Linked DNA regions of Mytilus edulis. The protein of the gene in region 1 purifies or fractionates together with the protein of each later gene. This does not show direct contact. Links are inferred from orthologs where the notes say so. Each region holds a gene or a part of one and is shown on either strand. Other genes may lie near its edges.

Region 1 (7,224 bases):
AGCTATTAGTTAATCATATTTATCCACAACTCTTAGATGTACATCACTATAACTACAATGCATGCTATATAGTTAACCAAACTTCAGCTTTGTAGCTTTTAAATTACAGTATTTGGGATGGATATTTGGATAAATAATCTAGGACTCAATAAATAAGATTATTTTTTGTTATGTTTATCTATTCAATTTTGGTGTAGTAATTAAGAACATAGTGTTCTTTATCAATATATTACTGGTAAATCCTCTCTAACATTAATTTCTTCAACCTTTTGATTGAGTCACATGCTCATGAACATTAAGGAAATACATTGTACCATTAAGGGAAGTGTAGACTTAAGGAGAAATGCAACATACACCATTTATGAAACAATAGAAAGTCCTGAAATAAATCAAATTTCATAAAATCATAAGAATGAAAACAGGAAATCTGATAATGAATCTGTATTCTGAATCATTCTGTTTATCTAATTATAGATTTGTTACTAATAAAATACAGTAGTTTTTATCAGATCTTGACAAGATACTGGTGTGTTACAATAAAAACAAATGTTTATGAAAAATAGACATCTGTCTACTCCATCTAAATCTAATATAATGGAAACGTAATTAATATGTAAACAAAAAACTGAACATAACTTCAATTCATGTTTGACCATGATAGTACATACAGTTGTACTATATCACCATAGGTTTCTTACTACTGTACAATGTACATGTACAAATGTATCTAAAAAATAAACTCAAAATGTATGCAAAATCTAGAATATTTCAATGAAGCTTAATATACAAATGTACAGGTCATACATTGTAGTGACCTATCTTTTAATATACACCCCTTTTTTACACTTCCCTTCAGTCATTAATTCACATATAAATGCAAATTCACTTTAGAAGATTGAAAATTTATCTGTATATCAAACAAACATTTAGCAGTATATATTTAAGGCCAGTTGATTGATCTTCATAATCATTGATTTCTAGCTCTTAATTCTGGGTTCTCCAGGACTCATGAAAATCTGTCTACACTCATAAACATGCTGAATTGTATGCGAGAAATTTCATAATTTTTCTTTATTTCAAAGATGTATTCAAGTTATGATGTATATATATGCAAAAGATTTCAAGAATTTTAAGAGTCAGTCCTGGTATGCATTACATTTAATAATATCTTAACCTAAAATTCATTTTCTTGAAAAATCAGGCAAAAAAAACAAACTGTTATATAAATTCAATATAATTATCTGCCATTGATTGTAAACTATTTTTTCCGAAAATTTTTAATACAATATACATTTATTGACACTTAATTTTTATAATAGTGTAATACTTATATTTACTTTAAGTATTTGATGTTCTTATTTTTTTTTAATGAAACTTGACTGAAATATTTTTAGACCAAAAAAAGTATTTTTGCGACATGACATTGAGCCAAAGGAATGCTCAGGATAAGACATCTGATCTACCATGAGCACATATGTACATATACTCATTCAATACCACATCATATGCACATTGACAGATAGAGTATTGGACAAAAAACATAATTATTCATAAAAATAAGGCGAAAACTTTAATCTTATGAAAATGGTTTGTGTTTTGTGGGGTGAGTCAACTTTTAATTTGTAAACATAATTTTTATTAAATTTAATACCTGTATTTTTAACTCAGGACTGTCATCACTTTAATTTTTATAAACAATATTAGGTTTGAGTTAATTACTGAGAGTAAAACAAAACACACTAAAATCTGGTTTTGAAGTTCAATTAGATTTCACTATAATCTTTTCAGAGTCCTAGCTACATGTGTATATATGGTATAGTAATTTCTGATGAGTTTTCTATTGGCCTTTAGCAGCTAAATTAGCTTTACTGCAGTTGAGTAATTATAGTAAATGATATTTGACTGCTAGACTATGCAGTGTGAATGAATAAAATAAAATATTGTAAGGTACCACATCAAAAGTTCAATGTAGGATAAAACACTTTTAAATTCATATAGTTTTTTCACTGACCCCCCTCCCCCTACCCTTCTCTTAACTTAATTTGTAAAAATTGATTAAACAATAAGGATATATATATGTAAAATCAATGTCAATTAAACAAAACTTGCAGCAATTTTGACCCCACCCCCAAACTATTTGAATTATGTTTTTTATCCTTCATTGATCTTTTGATGTCATCCCTAATTGAACGCATTTCTGAAATTTTATAAGGTTGTTAAATTCTTGACAGCAACACATTTTGTTGAAGCACACAAAAGCTTGAAACTAAAAAAAAATCTGCATGGTCATTTCTACATGTACACTTTGATTGTATTTTGAACTTCAAGACATTGTTCCTAATACCCTTTGAAATGAATTTCAAAAAATTTGTACATGAGAGCACTCACAAAACTGACACACCCACATGATGGATGGAGGGAAGCCTAGGGCTGTATGCCCCTATGTTTCTGGTTACAATTAATAAAACCCAATAACTCGGAAATGTAAAATGTAAAATCTATAAAAACCAAAAGGGAGCTTACGTCAACAGATATATATTAACTATCAAAGTTTCATGAGAACTGCTGCAAAGCATTTTTTAGTTATTATCTGGAAAATCCCCCCTTTTTTAATTAATAAAACCCTGTAAACTGAAAAATCCCCCTTTTTGGATGAATAAACCCCACAACTCGGAAGCGTAAAATCTAAAATTTATAAAAAAAAAAAAAAAAGGGAGATTACGTCAATATATATAAACAATTCACCAAAGTTTTATTCAAATTGGTTGAAGCGTTTTTGAGTTAATGTCCGACATGTTGTAACAGACAGACAGACAACAATATGCTATAATTCACCAATTCATATATTATACATTTCGTAATTTTCCATTGGTTTGGTTGTATAAATATAAACAGATATGTTACATTTTAGCCATTGTGAATACTTCTGATAAAAATTCAGATCACAGTCTGTGTCAGTGAATTTAAAAGACCACTTTTGAGTATGTCTGTCACCGTGAAAAACTTGTCAATTATGCGCGCTTTTATGACGTCATTTACCAGATAAAGGGGACAACCTGTATCTCTGCACTATAAACATACATCAAGTATCTTAGTGATCTTCATTGTGCAGGATATATATATAATCACTATTCACTAAGGACAGCAGTGCTGAAAGACAATTATGAGAGTTCAATTTGCAGAATAATTCGTGCAATATACCGGGTAGCTTTGTAGTTGTCCAACCACTCGCTCAACATTGGAACAGAAGTGAAGAAGCCCCTAAACGCATGAATGATGTTTACTAAAACCAAAAATTTGACAGAAATGCATTGAACTGTGGTCTATTATTTCAATTCACATTTCTCAAAATTTGATTGTTTGAAACTTTATTTTTTAGAAATGAAATAAGTTCTAGGGTCTGGGTTTAAACTAATTATAATAATAATAATAATTCTTTATTTAAAGAGGTTTACACAGTTAGCTAGGGTAACTGGATCCACATATATAGTTTTATTAGACCTAACTGATAACGCCTGCACCATATGATTATCAATAGACAATTTTCAAGTTAAATGTATGCCCTTATCCGGAAATGTTCGATAATCATAAGCACCTTTATGACGTCATTTACCAGGGGGATTGCCTGTATCCCTACCCTTATAGAGTTCATCAAGCATCTTCATGATCGTCATTTTTCAGGATACACTAGAAATAATGGTTGTTTTGAAGGTACTTTATCACAATTCCCTAATGACAGCAGTGCTAATTGTGAATTATAAGAATTCAATTTGCCAAATAATTCGCCTAATTTTTTCTAAAGCTCACATGGGAACATGTCTGTTTTAAATACTGATCTTCGCTTATTCTTTATTTTATAGCATGGCACATTACAGATACAGATAGATCTAGGCTATAATTTCAGTGTTAAGAATGGTAAAAATAAATAATTGTCATTTTATTTATAATCTAACTCACCTTCCTAAATTTTGATCAGCGAGTTGTTTCGCTCTCATAAAATTCTTGCGAAGATTCTCTGGCTTAAACATTTTGATAGTACTAATGCCTAAGCATTTAGGGATAAAATATAACTAATTTATGTAGGGTTCATGATTGCAGTCCGTCAATGTTGTGTAGGAAATTGATTCTGCAATATACTTCCGGGAGAAATATTTTGTAAAAACTGTTTTGATTGGTTTAAACTTTTTCAATTGACTAATCAGTGTTAGTCTATTATTTATCGTTGGATGTAAACAGAAGATGGCAGACCTCGTGGAAAAAGTTTTGAGAGAAGCAGCTGAAAAGGAATCAAAGTTTAAAACTATAGAAGTTGAAAAAGAGATTGATGTCATTATAGATGAAGGAAATCTCCTTGTGTGTGACACAAATCCTATTGATTTTAAATTACAAAAGTAAGAGGACCTCCATAATTTTCAAAAGTAACTCAGTAACACTAACACTTACATGCATGAACAGACTAACTTGTTCTTGTATCATGTTTATATTCTATGGTCAAAAGTCGGAGTGTCTTTTTACGACAGAACACCACAGAATACCACAGAACATAAAAACAAACAACAAAACAACTTAAATATGCAACATAACATTAAAATAACTTAACAAAATGCATGAACTAATATTAATTAGACGGTAAATCTAAATTTCATCACCGATTGCAAACCGCATATTAGTCCGAGATTACTCTGACATATAACGGCTGTTTTGGCAGACAAGCTGGGGCCGTGGGACGTCAGAGCTCGTCTCATATCAAAAAGTGGATATTTGCCCACCCAAAATAGATGCGGTACCTCGAATGACTGAATAACACTGTTAATATCCGAATAACACTTGTAATGACCGAATAACACTTGAAATTTTAATATTAGCAACATATTTGTGACTTTTAAACATTGATTATTAAATATTAGTACATTATCGATGTATTTTGTTACTTAAAAATGATTTATAGAAAGCAGAAAAGTTCTCAAAAAACTTTTAAAATTTAGTGTGTACATCCAATATGGTGACCACGGAAATCACAATGGCCGCCATGATCGATGTACACACGAAATTAAAAATTATCTTTATGCACTTATCTGCTGTCTGTAAATCATTTTAAAGTTATAAAATACATCGATAATATATTATCATTAAATAATCAATGTTTAAAAGTCACCAATATGTTCTTATATTAAAATTTTAAGTGTTATTCGGTCATTACATGTGTTATTCGGTCATTGTGTTACCCAAATAGATGCGCTACTTCGTCGCTTCTGGTGCAGACTGGTGGCCTTGGAATTATATAAAACGGGCATCAATCAATCTGTTCATTTTTCATTTATCTCTTCATTTATGTAAGTTTCACCTACCTGCCACCCTTTATTTTCTCATATTTAGACAGATTTCACAGTAGAAGTTCTATATGGGCTTATGATGTCGTTCTTGTATAACCAGTGATTTCAACAAATAAACACAATGTTTGATTAATATCTTTATTAAAACATGCCCTTTTCATATTATGATATCATATCACTTGTTAAATGCCCTTTTTCAGGATTGGAACCCTGCCCTTTTAAAATCCTAGCTGGAACACTACCTATGATCTACCTTAAGTCTTCTGCCACATGCATTGATGTCACCAATACTTGAAACTAATCTTCAACACCTGGCGTAATCACCAATTAGCCAAGAATTAAGGTTCATCATAACCTTTTGGCTAAAATGGCTGTATTTACACCACAAATTTTACTCTGAGTATAGACACACCTGTGCACCTAAGTCATGGCTGGACCTAGATAATTAAATTTTAAATGCATTTTTATGGTTCAGAAAATTATAAACTTTTCTGGATTTTGCTCTTCATTCTTTTTTCATTCCTGCAGCAGGTGCAAAAATAAACTAAGTTGGTAAAAAGTTTGAGAAACTCCCCTCATATAATCGATGTTGTGAGTAGTATTGATTTAAATGGACAATATATTGACGATAGACACCTGTAAACAATGTAACTTTTATATATCTAGGCCCTGCCATGCCTGAAAACTTTCTTAGATGCATCAGTTTGTCTGTATTTTGATGAACCTTAAATAATTTAAAAAAAGTTTTAAAGCCAATTATATTGAGTGTGTAGGTAGAGGTAATATCTTGTCTATCTTCATCAAGAGTTCTCATGTCACTCAGGTGTGTCGATCTACCTGTACAAGTAATAAGTGATCTTTAGTTGATATCCCTCAGGGCTTGGAAAATGTAATCAGGAGTACCCTTTGGATTATAATACAATACGCCTACAGATTAATTATTCATAATTGCTAACAAAAATGGCAGTGGGTAGAAAAACAAAAACTAATTTTGACAATGAGGCAGGGGTGTGGAAATATTTGTTGTGAGCACTTGTCCCAGGGCAAGTGAAACCTAAAATTTTACTTGTCCGTAAAAAAATTTACTTGCCCTGATGATCCCAATAAATATTGAAGTATTTCTTGTTAGCTAATATATGATTCTAACTTAGACTAGCACTGTTGTGCATCACAAACAAATGAAATCTATTTGTTTATATGCATGTGTAAAAAATTAGGAAAGTAGGAAATGGGTTAACATCAATAGGACAGCCTGAAACCTAACAGCAAACCAACCAATGAAATGACATGTAAAGGACAATATTACAGCAGTTTTTGAATAAAAATTGTAGCCAGTAGGTACATATACTAAATTTGAGGACAGTGATTGAAGAAATGTAAACTAAATAATAGATAAACTATTAATTTTGTAGTGTTTCTCTCAACTGACACACTTGTTTTTTTCTTGATTATTTATTATTGTCTTGATGGGCAATTAAAGCGTCCCTTCTTTTACCACTTTGACAACAAATAATGTTGATCTTTCATCTATAAATAAGACAAAAACTTAATTTTTTCCCCAAATTTCCATAGCCAGGGGCAATCTGATATCCACGATGTCTGAAATTCTCGCTTCCATTTTTTTTTAAAATAATCTGTGTCCTCCATTTACATTTAAGGTTTTCTACTCGACTTATAACTCTTTTTGTCTTGCTTGCCCACCTTTTTATTAAGTATTTATAAATCAATCTGAATCTCGATACAAAAGGAGTAGGTCCGGTAAGGACCGAATTTGGCCTCAAATTTCATGTTCATCTGACGAAAGATTTTGACCACTTTTTAAACACTTAAGTGTCTATTTTATTTGAATTAATTAGTTTATGTGAAAGATTTTAACAGATTTAGTCATTAA
Region 2 (7,944 bases), on another chromosome or scaffold:
AAATACAAAATAACCTGGCATTGTAGTAAGATTAATATATAATTGTGATAACTGTAGAGTTTTAGGATAATCCTAGTTGATTTGAAAAACTTATAAACATTATTAAAGTTGACTATCAAAAGTTTATTTCGACCTGAAAATTCCAACTTTTTTACTTTTTGAGGGAAACTTTAAATTTCACATTTATAAATGGAAATACAAAATAACCTGGCATTTTAGTAAGATTAATATATAGTTGTGATAACTGTAGAGTTTAAGGGCAATCCTAGTTGATATGAAAAAGTTACAAACATTATTAAAGTTGACTATCAAAAGTTTATTTCGACCTGAAAATTCCAACCTTTTTAATCAAATACAGTATAAAAACACCATTTATTAAAAACCAGCCTCGCTAGTTGTTATGGACATCTGACCTGTAAAATACAGTATAAAAACACCATTTATCAAAAACCAGCCTCGCTAGTTGTTATGGACATCTTACCTGTAAAATATTGTATAAAAACACCATTTATCAAAAACCAGCCTCGCTAGTTGTTATGGACATCTTACCTGTAAAATACAGTATAAAAACACCATTTGTAAAAAACCAGCCTCGCTAGTTGTTATGGACATCTGACTTGTAAAATATAGTATAAAAACACCATTTATTAAAAACCAGCCTCGGTAGTTGTTACGGACATCTGACCTGTAAAATATTGTATAAAAACACCATTTATCAAAAACCAGGCTCGCTAGTTGTTATGGACATCTGACTTGTAAAACACAGTATATAAACACCATTTTTCAAAAACCAGCCTCGCTAGTTGTTATGGACATCTGACCTGTAAAATACAGTATAAAAACACCATTTATCAAAAACCAGCCTCGCTAGTTGTTATGGACATCTGACCTGTAAAATATTGTATAAAAACACCATTTATCAAAAACCAGCCTCGCTAGTTGTTGTGGACACCTGACCTGTAAAATACAGTATAAAAACACCATTTATCAAAAACCAGCCTCGCTAGTTGTTGTGGACATCTGACCTGTAAAATACAGTATAAAAACACCATTTGAAAAAAAACCAGCCTCGCTAGTTGTTTCGACACCTGACCTGTAAAATACAGTATAAAAACACCATTTATTAAAAACCAGCCTCGCTAGTTGTTATGGACATCTGACCTGTCAAAGACCAGCCTCGCTAGTTGTTATGGACATCTGACCTGTAAAATACAGTATAAAAACACCATTTGAAAAAAACCAGCCTCGCTAGTTGTTATGGACATCTGACCTGTAAAATACAGTATAAAAACACCATTTGAAATCAAAGCCTTAAAGGCTGTAAAAGCAATTGCTGCCATGTTAATGTTTGGGGACTTTTATTTTTCATCCACATATATACAAGAATTAAACCTGACATGAGTGTTGTCTAGTTAAAAGTAAGAAGGTTTTAACTTTATATAAATAAAAGACTTTAGCAGAAAGTCATTTTTAATATGTTTTATATTTCACAAGGAGACAACACGTTTAATTACCAGGCTAAAGTTGGGGTCAAATATACATGTGCTGAAACATATAACTCAAAAAGAAATCATCATGGATTATCCCCTGGTAGTGTATGTAACTTCCTTGGCAATAATTTCCTTTATTGATTTAATTTTAACAATTTTCATTATTAATTTATATTTAACCATTAACACAAATGATTAAGTTAAAACATTTCAACTTTCCAGACGCAAATGTTAAAAAACGGGAAAGAAATAAAATATCTTACAAGACATAAACATGTAAAGAATAAATGTATATTTCAGCTTAATAAAAATATTTTCATAATGTTACTTTGTCATCATTTTTAAAACTAAGTTCCAAACATTATTGCTCAGTTGATGTGTGTCCTTCTGATGCGGTACGAGCACAGGCACTTGTTTCTATCCATAGGAAGGTCGATTATCCATATAAATAGTTTTATATGGATAGTCGACCTTCCTATGGATAGAAACAAGTGCATGTGGGTACGAGATAACTACAATTCTCATGCGATCCCGAAAAGGGGGGTCATCACAGACAAACATGACATTAAATCGTTATCACTGAACTAGTATATATATTGTATAGGGGCCAGCTGAAGGACGCCTCCGGGTGCGGGAATTTTTCGCTGCATTGAAGACCTGTTGGTGACCTTAATTCTGCTGTTGTATGTTTTTCTATGGTCGGGTTGTTGTCTCTTTGACAAATTCCCCATTTCCATTCTCAATTTTATTATACGAACAACAACAAACAGCTCTACGTTGCTTTGATATTTATCAATTTTCAGGAAACATTGCGAAAAATGATCTTCAATATTTCGAAAACATGTGAAATAAAATTGCTAACACGGTGGACCGTCGAGTGTCAACAAACGTAGTAGACTTGTTCACTGAATAGACGAGGATAATGGTTTCATCTGACATTTGTTATGCAAACCCAGTTTTGATCATGATATTTAAAAAGACGTACTTTTTTTCAATCTATGTATTAATAAACTAGAAAATTCCAAATTGTAAATATCTCTTCATCTGGACCGACTTGGCATCTACTATGGACGGGTCCATTTCATTAGTAAGGTGATCGATAAATATTACGGAGTTTTGACAGAAAAGAAAAACGAACTTATTGTTGTGTGTTTTCAACAAGGGTTTCGTTCCGCTAAATTATTTGCGCAAATAAAGTTTGTCTATTTTTAGATTACAGGTAATAATTTGACACTACGCATTAACCTGTGTAGTGATTTTGATTTTACGATAAATGTATGAATGAACGATAATTTTATGAATGAACAAGAGCACCTGACCTCTTAAAGAAACACAAATTAAACATAAAAAACCGTATTTATTAGGAGATAATTCAGTTAAATTTTCAATACTAAATCAACAACTGAAATGAATCCATATTTTGTTGAAACATCGTACGAACGGCGGAAAACGGAATCGCATTTATAAAAATGTATTTTTTTTTACTCGGACTTCTATGTTATTTGATAGTCAAACGGTTGACCCTTTAAATACAAAAATACATCTACAAGAACATATTCTGAAACTTCTTAAATCCACTAACTTTTTTTTAAAGTTTCAAGCTATGTATTGCATTAGAAAACATACATAGGTGTTAAAGAATGACTGACCAGGAGCCTGTTTAGCAAAATACTATGGCTTGATCTGGGCGGAGTCTCTGATCTGGGTCACAAAGATGGCCATACGCGACGGCATAAAAGCAATTGCTTTAAAAAACCAGTCTCACTAGTTGTTATGGACATCTGACCTGTAAAATATTGTATAAAAACACCAATTATCAGAAACATGCCTCGCTAGTTGTTATGGACATCTGAACTGTAAAATACTCTAGTCTTATTCTATCTCCAACAAAAAAGAGTTCAAAAAGTAGGCGTGTTTTATTTCAAGTAGGCGGGACCAAAATCCTGCCTCGCTAGTTGCCGGCCTCACTAGTTCCGAAATAGTGCTCACTGTAAAATACAGTATAAAAACACCATTTATCAAAAACCAGCCTCGCTAGTTGTTGTGGACATCTGACCTGTAAAATACAGTATAAAAACACCATTTGAAAAAAACCAGCCTCGCTAGTTGTTTCGACACCTGACCTGTAAAATACAGTATAAAAACACCATTTATTAAAAACCAGCCTCGCTAGTTGTTATGGACATCTGACCTGTCAAAGACCAGCCTCGCTAGTTGTTATGGACATCTGACCTGTAAAATACAGTATAAAAACACCATTTGAAAAAAACCAGCCTCGCTAGTTGTTATGGACATCTGACCTGTAAAATACAGTATAAAAACACCATTTGAAAAAAACCAGTCTCACTAGTTGTTATGGACATCTGACCTGTAAAATATTGTATAAAAACACCAATTATCAGAAACATGCCTCGCTAGTTGTTATGGACATCTGAACTGTAAAATACTCTAGTCTTATTCTATCTCCAACAAAAAAGAGTTCAAAAAGTAGGCGTGTTTTATTTCAAGTAGGCGGGACCAAAATCCTGCCTCGCTAGTTGCCGGCCTCACTAGTTCCGAAATAGTGCTCACTTAACACGGGTCAGCCATTTATCGTCCCCTTCCGACGGACTATCATCGTTTCCTCGAGACCATACTCACAAATGGTGTCAAGGGAGAGTCGAAAATTCAGTTCCTGAAATTTTCATCCCAGACGGGAATCGAACCAGGAACCTTTGTGTTAGTAGTAATGTTTGATATTCTGACGAGAAAAAAATAATAAATTTTACTGTATATCAGAACTGACTAGATTAAGTTGCATTTTTTTTTAACTTTTTAATAGCAGACAGTCTGAGTGATACAGTGTGCTTTTAAGTGTAGGTTTTTTAGTTTGTGTTATTTGTTTGAGATTTTTTTGTTTGCTTGTTCAACTTGAAAATTTGTATCACCGGCACTTGTCTCTTATAAAAAAATACATATACAATGAATTATCATACAGTGGGCTTTTAAGCCAGTGTAGGTTTTTTTGTTTGTGTTATTTGTTTTGAGATTTTTTGTTTGCTGATTCAAGAAACATATGCACTTTTCCTTCTTTCGTAATTCCCTCATGTTTAGTAGCACTCGAAAATGACCGAATAATCATAACAGTATTTTTACACAATAAATCCTCTGTAAAATATGAATGACCAGTATCCTCCACCATAATATATTCTGGCAGTGTATATACAACAAGTCGTGAGCCAGTTTATATATAAGCACATGTCTCTAAAAGAAAAAAACAAATATATACAATATATTAAAGTATATGCAAGGTTTTGTATAAAAAGGTGATCAGATCTGTTTGACATGTTTGACCCATTGTTTGTCTTATGCTCGGTCTTATGTCCGTATGCGGCGAATCCAAAGTAAAGTTTATCTTACTAACTTATTTTCCGAAAAATTCGTTGTCTGTTCCGTCATTCAGTTTTGTATTTAGAAACATTTATATATTTACAGGAAATGACGTAGTACACACAAAAATCGGAAACCACGTTTTTCAATGTAAACAGATTCAGTTCATCAAATATCATTTAATATGGGCAAGAAAAGTAAAACAGGAAAATCCAGAAAAGACAAATTTTACAAACTAGCTAAGGAAACAGGTAATCATCATTTTTCAAATATAGCTGAAATAGTTTTCACTATAGATATTCTTCAATGATCAACCCCCACCTTCTTCTGGTTCATCAAAATTATTTATATTTTGAAGTTTGTCTATTTTCTTATTATTGGTACAGCTATCTTATAGAAGAGATAGAAGAAGAAAATGGGGGGGGGGGGGAATTAGTTGAGGTATCCATGGTAGTCTGTGGAGTTCAAAAAGTGTGGTGTTATAGACTCTCCTTTTCTGTTTTCTGTAGATATGTGGACTCTTTATCTTTTGATTTGTTGAATTAATTTCTGAAATACAATATTCAGTTCACATTTATCACGATAAAAGACAAATTAATAAACTTTTGGGGTGTTCAGTGTTGTTTGGCAGTGTGTGGTGGTGTTCGTTGGTGAAAAGACCTACTGCCGCCTTCTTCTTGTCTCCGTATAAGCATCCTTTATAAGAATCACCACCATGAGTTATGGGTATAAAGGAAGCATTTGAAGCCTGTATCGGTACAGATTAATGTGAGCATTTACCTACCCAATTTCCCAGCCAGGCCGTGACTGGGTCTTATTACCAGAAAGTTAACCTTCCCTAAACATAATACAATATAACAAAATAAAACATACATTTGTACTCATCAATAAAACACTACACTTTTGAGTCTTCTCTCAAATTAACTCGAATACATCGAAGCTCATGAAAGCAAATTCTTGCTTTGGTAGAGTTAGGCAATGAGAATTTAGAGAGGTCATGTAGTTTTATTGTGTCTGCCCACTGATTCACTTTCTATTCCAATCAACAAAGCATTATTCAAGATTTGGTTCTAAAAAGAATCCAATAAGGCAGGTTACACTCGTTTTGATGATATTTGTATGGGTTTCTTCTTTGATTTAAAAATACAAGTATATCTGGTTACCTGACTGACTTTTACTATGGTCAATTTGCATACTCCCATTGAACAAGGCCATAAAAAAGAATAGGTTTGTTAGCCCAAACCCTACCTACAGTACGGGTAAGGACTTATTTTTATGGATGTCTTAATCCGTCTAGATGTCAGACTGGTGGACAGTTGTCCCAGTGTAATAAACACCTGCTGTGCAATACTCAAGTGGAAGGTCGTAAATCAATCTGTACCAGCTTGATTAGAATTAAATTTTACCTGTACAGATATATTAGTATTTATGGAGGATAGATAAATGTAAAATATTGTTTTGTATTCAAAGAGAAAGAATTAAAATTAAAATTAAATATAAGAATTAAAATTAAAATTAAATATTAGAATTAAAATTAAAATTAAATATAATTTTATTTTTTTTATAATTTGAAAATGAAATAAAGACGATTTTTAACAATATATATTGTGTTGCCAATTATTTCAATAGTTTTGTGCCAATAATCTATTTTGTATTTGTATTTGTAAACCGTAAATATTTCAGCTAATTCAAAATAATAAGCCTAATAACAACCAAGACTGTTTTCAATAGAAGTTTAAATCAAATTGTTGAGACTTCAATCCCGTAAATTATACGAGTTTTCATTGATGGTTATATTATTTCCCCCTTTTAACGTCCTGTTCCTTTATATGTTATTATTAGAAACTCAATTTTAAGTATAAGGCCAACATATCGTATTTATAAAATATGTATAGGCATTGTGAATTAAGTTATTTTCCTTTTGATACAACTTTCCCCGTCGGAGCCTCTACATCTATTCACACCTGTCAATCATTTCTCGCAAGTGAAACATTTTGGTCAGACAGATCACTCGTGCTTTCTATTTTGACATATTTCCCGTTAATCTCTTTGAAAGTCAAACAATTGGTTTCTTTTAATACAATATTTATAACGCCGAGATTATATTTCGATTCCTATTTTTTTTTTTTAATTTTAAATTGTTGACACTCGAGATAATGCCTTTCTATTTTCATGTCTTAAATTTTTTATGAAAATCGCCGGTGTTATAAATATATTTTACAAATTGTATCAAATCGATACACGAAAATCAAAGTTTAACCTTATATAGTTTATTGAATAAATGCACATTCATACCCCAATGGGGTTGAAGGCTAGTAGTCGTACTAGTCGTGATCAGCTGTCTTTACTTTTTCGTCGTACTTCTATTCATTCTAAAGCTCGCGCAGTCAGTATGATTTTTTAAATCGATGTTGTATTATTTCCGAAGTTTAAAGGAGGTCTCCAAATAGATTATTTAAATGGGAATCCAGGAAATGACTGATAAAAATAAAAATAAAATAGTTAAAGAAGACTAAATCTTGTTTCGATTATACATGTATGTAAATCGATTAAATTTCTATTCTGGTAAATCGATCAAGAGCCTCAAAACTAAAGCACAATACTGTCAATCATTCCACATCAAATTTAATCATGAATGGATTTTCCCACGGACGTTCAGTAAGGTCACCTGTGTTAACTGTTACGACATTTCCCGCCATATAAAAATCTCGTGCAGTGGACAAAATCGATCTTTAATATCTTTTATTAGCATTCAATATTATTGTGAGTGGAGCCAAGTTAAAGTTCAACCACGTGCACACGCTGTTGATCACTGATATGTGTATCATGGAATTGTCTTTTCATGGCAATTTTTTCTTTTAGATTGCTATAAAAAAAATATAACATACAAGTTTCCTTCTTAACATGGATTGTGCATAAATTAATATTATGCAATTAAGATTTTGGGATTAACCCTTTCAGGATCTGGGAATTCTTTTTTCGCGATGTCGGGATTTAAATTTATTTAAATTTCGGGATCTTGGGACTTTGTGTTTTTAAGCCCGAGATTTCGAGATCCGGACCCCTTTTACCCCCTACCCCAAAT
Region 3 (7,485 bases), on another chromosome or scaffold:
CTTTTTATGCTGAAAAACTTGTCAAGCAGCTTGTCACACAAGTTTTTATATCATTGCTTGGCACAGTTGAGCTTTATATGCAGTATGTTTTGAAAGGTGACCTGCTTCATACTGTTTCTTTGGTCTGACAAACTTTACCAGTTTCACCTTTCTACCTCTGCTGTGCTTAATGGCAATACAGCACAAAACAGCTGTTCTCAGTAAATGCACAACGTTAAGATATAGCAACAGTGAAAATTTGTATTAAAATTAAAGAATACAGAAAAAGATGACCAAGGCACCCTACCAACACTGCTACTAAGACCCTCTTTAACTTTTCCCATAACTCATGAATCAAAATACCTAAACATATATATTCTTAAGCAATAAGTATGTAGACATATTTTAGAATATGTTAAGTGAGTTAATCAATGTTAGGAAAAAATCAGATTGAGTTATCAGGGGTCAAACTAACTTATAAAGGCCAGTAGCCATCTGGGCTACTAGACTTGAAGATCAGTTAGCCCAGACAAAAAGTCAGTAGCCCACATAATTTTACTATCACCGGTGAAGCCCGCAAAGCGGGCTGAACCTCCTAGGGGGGTTTGGGGGCATGCCCCCCATGAAAATTTTGAAATTTTAGACTCAAAATTTGTTGTTGACTTAAATCAAATTTCATTAAAAAAAATCATTTGCAAAATGGGAATCTTCATACCCTGTGTACCAGATTTTTAAAGACAACTTAAGAATTCTCTCTTCTGGAATACATGTATAGATGATAGATGAAATATTTCATTTTATTTCTATAATAATCTAATTTATCAAATATATTGATCGATTCATTTTGCGTATCAAACTATGTACATTTGTAAACAAATAACCCCCCTTTTTTCTCAAGACTATTTCACATATTTCAAAAGCATTGTCATGAACTTGATATCTTCTTTTTTTGTAAACTGTTCAGTTAGTAAGGAACATATATCATTTTTAACTATAAATGTTAGTGTGCTCGACAATATTCTACTTTCATTTTTTACCTTCATTCTCTGACTCTGTACACCACGTGGGCTTTGAAAAGGTAACTACAAAAGGTACTGTTTTCCAGATTCTTAAGGTGGCTCATGGGTACAAAAATTTCAGCAAAAAATTAAATCTTTATTTTTTCATTACAAATTTTATTTATTACACTATAAGTTATTACTTTATGATATGGTACAAAAATCAACCCAAAAAAACGATTTGGTTTGGCCCCAGATGACTTTTAAAATGTTTATATCATTGAAAAAGCTTCAAATTATCTCCCTCTGGTGAAAAAATGCCATTTTTTGGTATTAAATTTGAAATATCTTTTTAACTCATCGGTGACCTATATTTTTTATTATTGTTTTCAAATAAGCTGTACATAAACTAAATAATTGTAAAATTTAAGCGATTTCTGTAATTAGGTTATTTTTTTATTTTAATATTACCTCTATTTCTCGGATTACATTGTAGCTCAACAGAAAAAAGGACATTAACAAAAATGTATGCTTCTTCCGGAGGCAGATTGTGAGTTAAATGAACGGTGACCCCATTTTTTTATTTCATTTTTCTTTTAAGTATATGATAAAGTTCATTTATAAAAAAATATAGCTAAATCCTATATTAGAAAAAAAAATTGATTTATACCCAGGAGCCCCCTTAACAACATTATATATCATACTTTCTTTTATTTGTCTTATATAACTTCATGACATGCTATTGTCATCTTCCCTGACTTTCTTAGCTTTCTTGAAGCCAAAACCGTGATTGCTTCATATTGTTAATGACCATAGGAACACCTCTCTTGTTATCCTTGCAAACATACGATACATTCCGACTTTAAATAGACGACCAATCAGTGACCTGAATTAACGTGAACTATATTTAATCAAAGGTAAACACTGATTTGACATCCTTATTTATCGCAACCGCGACATTGATGCAATACATTTTAAAAAGATTTTTCCTTTTGAATTTAAATTTTTGTCCATGATGTAGCCAGTACTTGGAGTCATGGTAAATGGCGGATTTCAGTCAGTCAAGTACTTGTTTTCAATTCGCCACCTTGGCTACCACAACTGAGTAAAAAGATCGCCCAGGACAAATTCTAGTTGCACATTGCAAATTGTGACCAAGTTGGCGTTTGCACATTTCTTCAAAGATAATTGCCGACTGACCGATTTTATTTGAATGAATTAATGATGATGGTCATTAGTGACCCATCCGATAAACCGATTACCTTTAACAACAGATTTTGACACCAGTTGTTACCGTTGATTAGCTTTGGGTCGTAAACAAAGCAATAAAATTTAGTAATTAGCATGATTAGCTGATCATATCAATACGAACAAAATAATATAAACAATCCATCTTCAAAAAAAGGCAGGGCACCCTGGAATCTGTAAAAAGGGCACAGGGTGGCACTTTGGAAAGGGCGGGCGCCACACCCTCTGAAAACAGCCTAGCTGGAACACTGCATCATGCAAAACTTGATACAGAAAAGTATCCTATTTTCAAAGAACTATTTCCGACTGGAACAAACTACCTAATAACATTGTAAATTGCACTTCAGTAGACTCTTTCAAAACTTCAATTTCAAAGCATCAATGTTAACTCAATTTAACTATAACATCTTACTTTATTATAAGAACATTTTTATTTTTTATTAATTTTCCGTATTTTTCAATCTATGTCTTGTTGTAAGTTTCCTTCTGTGACATCATCTTCAATTTTTTGAAGGCGGTCACTGTATGATAGAATAGAATAGAATAGTTTATACAAAATCTGAACTTATTTAGGACTACAAGTCCTATTTTTGTGCTACACATACCGTCTTCTTTCAGTTCCTTGGGCATTTGTGGAGGTTTCTGCTTCTTTGCCTTTCTACCAGGACCTTTTTTTGGTCCATCGAGCGTCAAATCTCTCTTTCTACCCATAATTTAGTGCTGAAATTATGAAAAATATTTGTTTCCCCACGTGTTGTGTGTTTTCAATATTTTCACTTCCGGTTGGAAAATATATACAGTGAAACGATGTCGGGTATCTATATTTTCCGGATATTTTACATTAAATAACTCTGATCCATGATCCGTCAGGTTTTGTCATCAACAGTTTGTTCATTTAAATATGAGATCTCTGACAGAACTTTGACAAATAACCTTATTTCAGCGGCTAATGTATGAAATAGACAGCTCAATATAATCAGAGACATATAAGAAGAAGAAGAAGAAGAAGAAGATGCTTTATTTCCATAAAATGGGCTCACAAGGAGCATAATATAATATCATTGTAATATAATATTCTTTTACAAATATAATAAACAACACAAGTTACAAACACAAATAAGAAACAACAGTTATCACATATTAGTATATATATAAAACCTTCGTCTCAGGCACACCTCTGGAAAGTAACAAAAAAGAATACTGTGAGTAGGCTAAATATATCTAGCTGAACTGCAAGAGGCACCTAGGGACGGTGCTATATGGCATGGTGGGTGCATATTAAAATGTGTTTCGGGACATTAATGATATGGTAAGATATTGTAAGAAGTTGCACATAAATGGTATGTCATCCTCGTGCCTGGTGCAGAGGAGTCAGTACTATTTAAAGTGACACAACTGCAAGAGGCACCAAGGGACAACGCTAATTGACATGCCAAAGTGCACAAATTACAAAAAAGATAAAATATTACCAGTTTAATAAAAAAAATAATAATATCGCAAACAAGAAGATAATAGAACTTGTACGATGTGTCCTGTACCCCACCATGCCAACCTTGTGCCTAGTGCAGAAAGCCTGATTAAATATTTATCTTTAAAGTTATATTTTATCTTCATCAATTAACTCACAGACAGATATCAAAATATCAAGATTCTCTACATTAAGAAGCCATATCAGTTTTTGACTAGGAATCAAATGCTTAAAGTTTGGGCATAGTAAGTCAATAGTGGAATTCGAATAATTTCTCTTATCTTGTGATGATGTACATGAGAATAAAAAATGTTTTTCATCATCAACTTCATTTGAGGTGCACCTGAGACATATTCTGTCTTGTCGGAGAGTACCCTGATAGCGACCTTGTTCAATTCTTAGTCTGTGAGAAGAAATACGCAATCGAGTGAAATTTCTACTCTGCTCAGGTGATTGTAATATAGTAAGGTATCTTTCAAGACCAAAATGAGTCTTAAAAGTGCTATAGCTACAAAGCTTCCCATCAGCACAATTGTGCATTTGGTTTCTCCACTGTATTTCATAGTGCTCATACAAGAACTTTTTAATTAAAATTTTGAATCTAAAGTTGCTTGCAAAGGTTAGACTGTCAACCCCATTAATTTTTTTTTGCAAATAGTTTAAAGATCCATACCAAGAGGGAATTTTTGATTCAAATAATAGCTTTTGACTCTAAATATGCATCTTTTAGTAAGGGAAAGGATGAACCCAAATTTTCAAGCCGGTGCCAGTATCTGATCATAGATTTGGTGATATCAAAATGTAAAGGAAATCTCCCAAGTTCTGAAAGAGTGGCAAGGTTTGTTGCTCTTTTCCCCACACCTAGTAATAATTTACAAAATTTCATATGTAATCTATCTGAAAAAAGTTTAGGATAAGCTTGATCAACTGTAGAAGTCTGAGAATTTTTTTTTTTTGAAAGGATTAAAAAAGCCCCAAATTTCCGAACTATACAAAAGAATGGGTTTAATTGTATGATCAAATACATGGAGGCTGTTTTTAATATTGGGATTCAGTGATAAAAAGTCCTTTCGTAGCTTATAGTATGCTTTCAATGCCTTATTGTACAATTCCTTCTGAGCAAAGGAAAAAGATCCTGATGCACTAAATGTTATACCTAAATATTTACAATGTTGAACACAATCTATCAACATGTCATTACAGCTTTTACATTAATGCTAGCAAGACAAATCTTTGTTTGGCTTGCTTGCTTTGTTTGTATCAATGTTTGCTCAAGCATGGCAATTAAGATAGGCGGGGTTTCAGCTTGTATACATCATAATTAAATTTTATTGGACGTTATGTTTGAGGTTAAGGACACTAAATTTTAAAACATCAAATATTCTCACATGTTTCCTTACCTGTAAATATACAATACAGTCAGGATTCTACTTCGTCAAAATTATCTCCCCATTACGGCAGTTCATTTTCACAATCGTAGAAATGGAAACCAATTTTTTTTTCGAACATATGCATTTTCATCATCCAACTTAAAGATTGTCGTCAAATACTTTTAGTATTCCGGTCCCGCCATGAATGGACGGAAAGAAAACAGCAGTCAAAACAACAGCATAGATTGCTAAATAATGATTTGTGAGAGTAAAATGGAATTTGTAGAAAGACAATATGACTGATTTGTAATCATAAAAATCAGATGAAGGTGTTCTATTATCGATATTTATATAAATAACATTGTTCGAAGACCCACGTGGCCATGATAAATAGGTAAACGGACAGAAAGTCACAGGACAAAAAGTCACAGGACATAAAGTCACAAATTTGGTAGGACAAAAAGTCACAGGACAAAAAGTCACAAATAATTTATTGACAATTGTTTTAATATATAAGGATATGTCTTGAAATATTTACTTTTAAATACATATATTCATATTAAAGTTTAGGAAATGTGTCATTATACTTGAAAAATGAAGATTTAATTAATTTTAATCATGCAAAAGATGTTTTTCTTGGCACCATGAAGACATTTAAGTGCCAAGTCACTTTGACATTTTGTTTTTTTAACAATTATTTGATAATCTTTGATATTTTTTTGATATATTTTGTTTAAAAAGTTGGTTTATATACAATAGTTTAAGAAAAATACAAAAATATTTTTGTAGAAATAAGCGTTATTTATTCAAAGAAAATAATCAGAAAAAAATAATTGTGACTTTTTGTCCTGTGACTTTTTGTCCGTGACTTTTTGTCTGTGACTTTTTGTCCTGTGACTTTCTGTCCTACATTCGATAAATATGGATCCGGTGTTTACAAAATTAGAGAAGCTAGACCCAGAGAAAGTTCTGTCCTCTCCTTTTTGGAAAAAACATAATGATATCTCCAAATATAAACTGCCCAGACTACCCAAACAGCCTACTGGCAAAGCCCTACATGCACAATATGAAGATGCCAATAGTGGTGACCTATATATGCCAGGGGCAAAAATGACAGCGTTTAGAGTGAGATCCACCGAAAGATTTTTATCCTGGATTAAAACATTTGCATACCGATATCATTTACAACTAGGGGAACTGAGTGATCACACTTGTATCTGGGTAGACAAAGTAAACAATGATACTGGTCCAATAGTTGAAATTTTCATTCAGATTTTTCAAGGAACAGAACAAGAGACAAAAATTGAATCCAATAAACTTTTAACATTCCACCTTTATCCTACAACATTTGTCATAACTGTGCAGGGTAACCTTCACTCTGTTTGGGCAGAAAATGAATTCAAATATATGAAATCTATAGTAGATGCTAACTGCATTGTACCGTCAGAAAACTTATTAACACATGACCTTGACAGCAGTGATAATAACTACCTACAATTTGTTACAATGCTTGAATCAAAGAATGACGTAAGTCAAACAAATCTCAAAGTCGCCTCTTCGCCTCGAATTATTGTACCAAAATCGCAGTCAAAGATACATACTGACAATGAGAGCATTTGTTTTTCCATTCAGAAAATGGAAGAAAAAATTTGTAGTATGTCAACAAGTCTAGATTCCAATTTAGACAATATGAATTCAAAAATTGAAAAACTCAGTAAATGTGAACAATTGATACAAGACTTGACATTAAAAAGTGACAATCAACCAGCAGATGTCGAACTAAGGCTAGAAGTCTTAGAAAACAAAATTTTTGATTACATAAACTCAAAGTTAATAGAAATAAAACAAGAAATAAAGACATATCCTAAAATAGAAGAGAAAGTATTTGAATTTGAAAACAATCAATCAGCAGCTCTTGAACAAAGGCTAAATGTTTTAGAAAACAAAATTGTTGACTATGTCAACTTAAAGGTAACAGAAATAAAACAAGAAACAAAGACATACTCTGAAATAGAAGAGAAAGTATTGGAATTTGAAAACAAGTTTGAAAAATTTCAAGATAAGTGCGAACATGCAACATTGGTACAACCAAAAGAGAAACAACCAGAATCACAATTTTCTCAAAACAATTATTCTCAACTGATTTCTGAAAATCAATTTCTGCGATCAGAGAATATGACCTTGAAATCAAATTTGAAAATGTTGGAGGAGAAAATTCAATCCTTAATGGAACACAAAAGACAAGATGTTATCCCACAGGTATCAACCTCAAATTCATTCTCCTTACTTGCAGACCATAATAACAACATAAGCAATGACGAAGAAGAAACAGAGCTTAAAGCTCCAATCTCTAATCAACCTCATTGTGAAATTAGATTTGTTATGGATTCCCATGGAAATGGGATAGATCCGAAAAGAATTT

The links. The genes of interacting proteins can lie anywhere in the genome.
Region 2: the proteins of ribosome biogenesis regulatory protein homolog (region 1) and pre-rRNA 2'-O-ribose RNA methyltransferase FTSJ3-like purify together in Homo sapiens (affinity purification with mass spectrometry; 3 studies listed by BioGRID and IntAct, counting the BioPlex papers as one, with this or other methods). This does not show direct contact. The link is inferred for Mytilus edulis from reciprocal best matches to the Homo sapiens genes RRS1 and FTSJ3.
Region 3: the proteins of ribosome biogenesis regulatory protein homolog (region 1) and uncharacterized protein fractionate together in Homo sapiens (co-fractionation; 3 studies listed by BioGRID and IntAct, with this or other methods). This does not show direct contact. The link is inferred for Mytilus edulis from reciprocal best matches to the Homo sapiens genes RRS1 and NOP2.

Annotation. Positions count from the first base shown.
Region 1 is NC_092352.1:17,453,013-17,460,236, forward strand, and holds the start of ribosome biogenesis regulatory protein homolog, read left to right. Parts: upstream 1-4,200; 5' UTR 4,201-4,239; coding exon 4,240-4,391; intron 4,392-7,224. Other genes in the region: rho GTPase-activating protein 44-like, read right to left, coding at 3,958-4,028. UniProt on the Homo sapiens protein: Involved in ribosomal large subunit assembly. May regulate the localization of the 5S RNP/5S ribonucleoprotein particle to the nucleolus.
Region 2 is NC_092349.1:66,464,815-66,472,758, reverse strand, and holds the start of pre-rRNA 2'-O-ribose RNA methyltransferase FTSJ3-like, read left to right. Parts: upstream 1-4,923; 5' UTR 4,924-5,043; coding exon 5,044-5,110; intron 5,111-7,944.
Region 3 is NC_092356.1:37,575,964-37,583,448, reverse strand, and holds the start of uncharacterized protein, read right to left. Parts: upstream 3,022-7,485; 5' UTR 2,937-3,021; coding exon 2,831-2,936; intron 1-2,830. Other genes in the region: putative leucine-rich repeat-containing protein DDB_G0290503, read left to right, coding at 5,447-5,457, 5,987-7,485. UniProt on the Homo sapiens protein: S-adenosyl-L-methionine-dependent methyltransferase that specifically methylates the C(5) position of cytosine 4447 in 28S rRNA. Required for efficient rRNA processing and 60S ribosomal subunit biogenesis.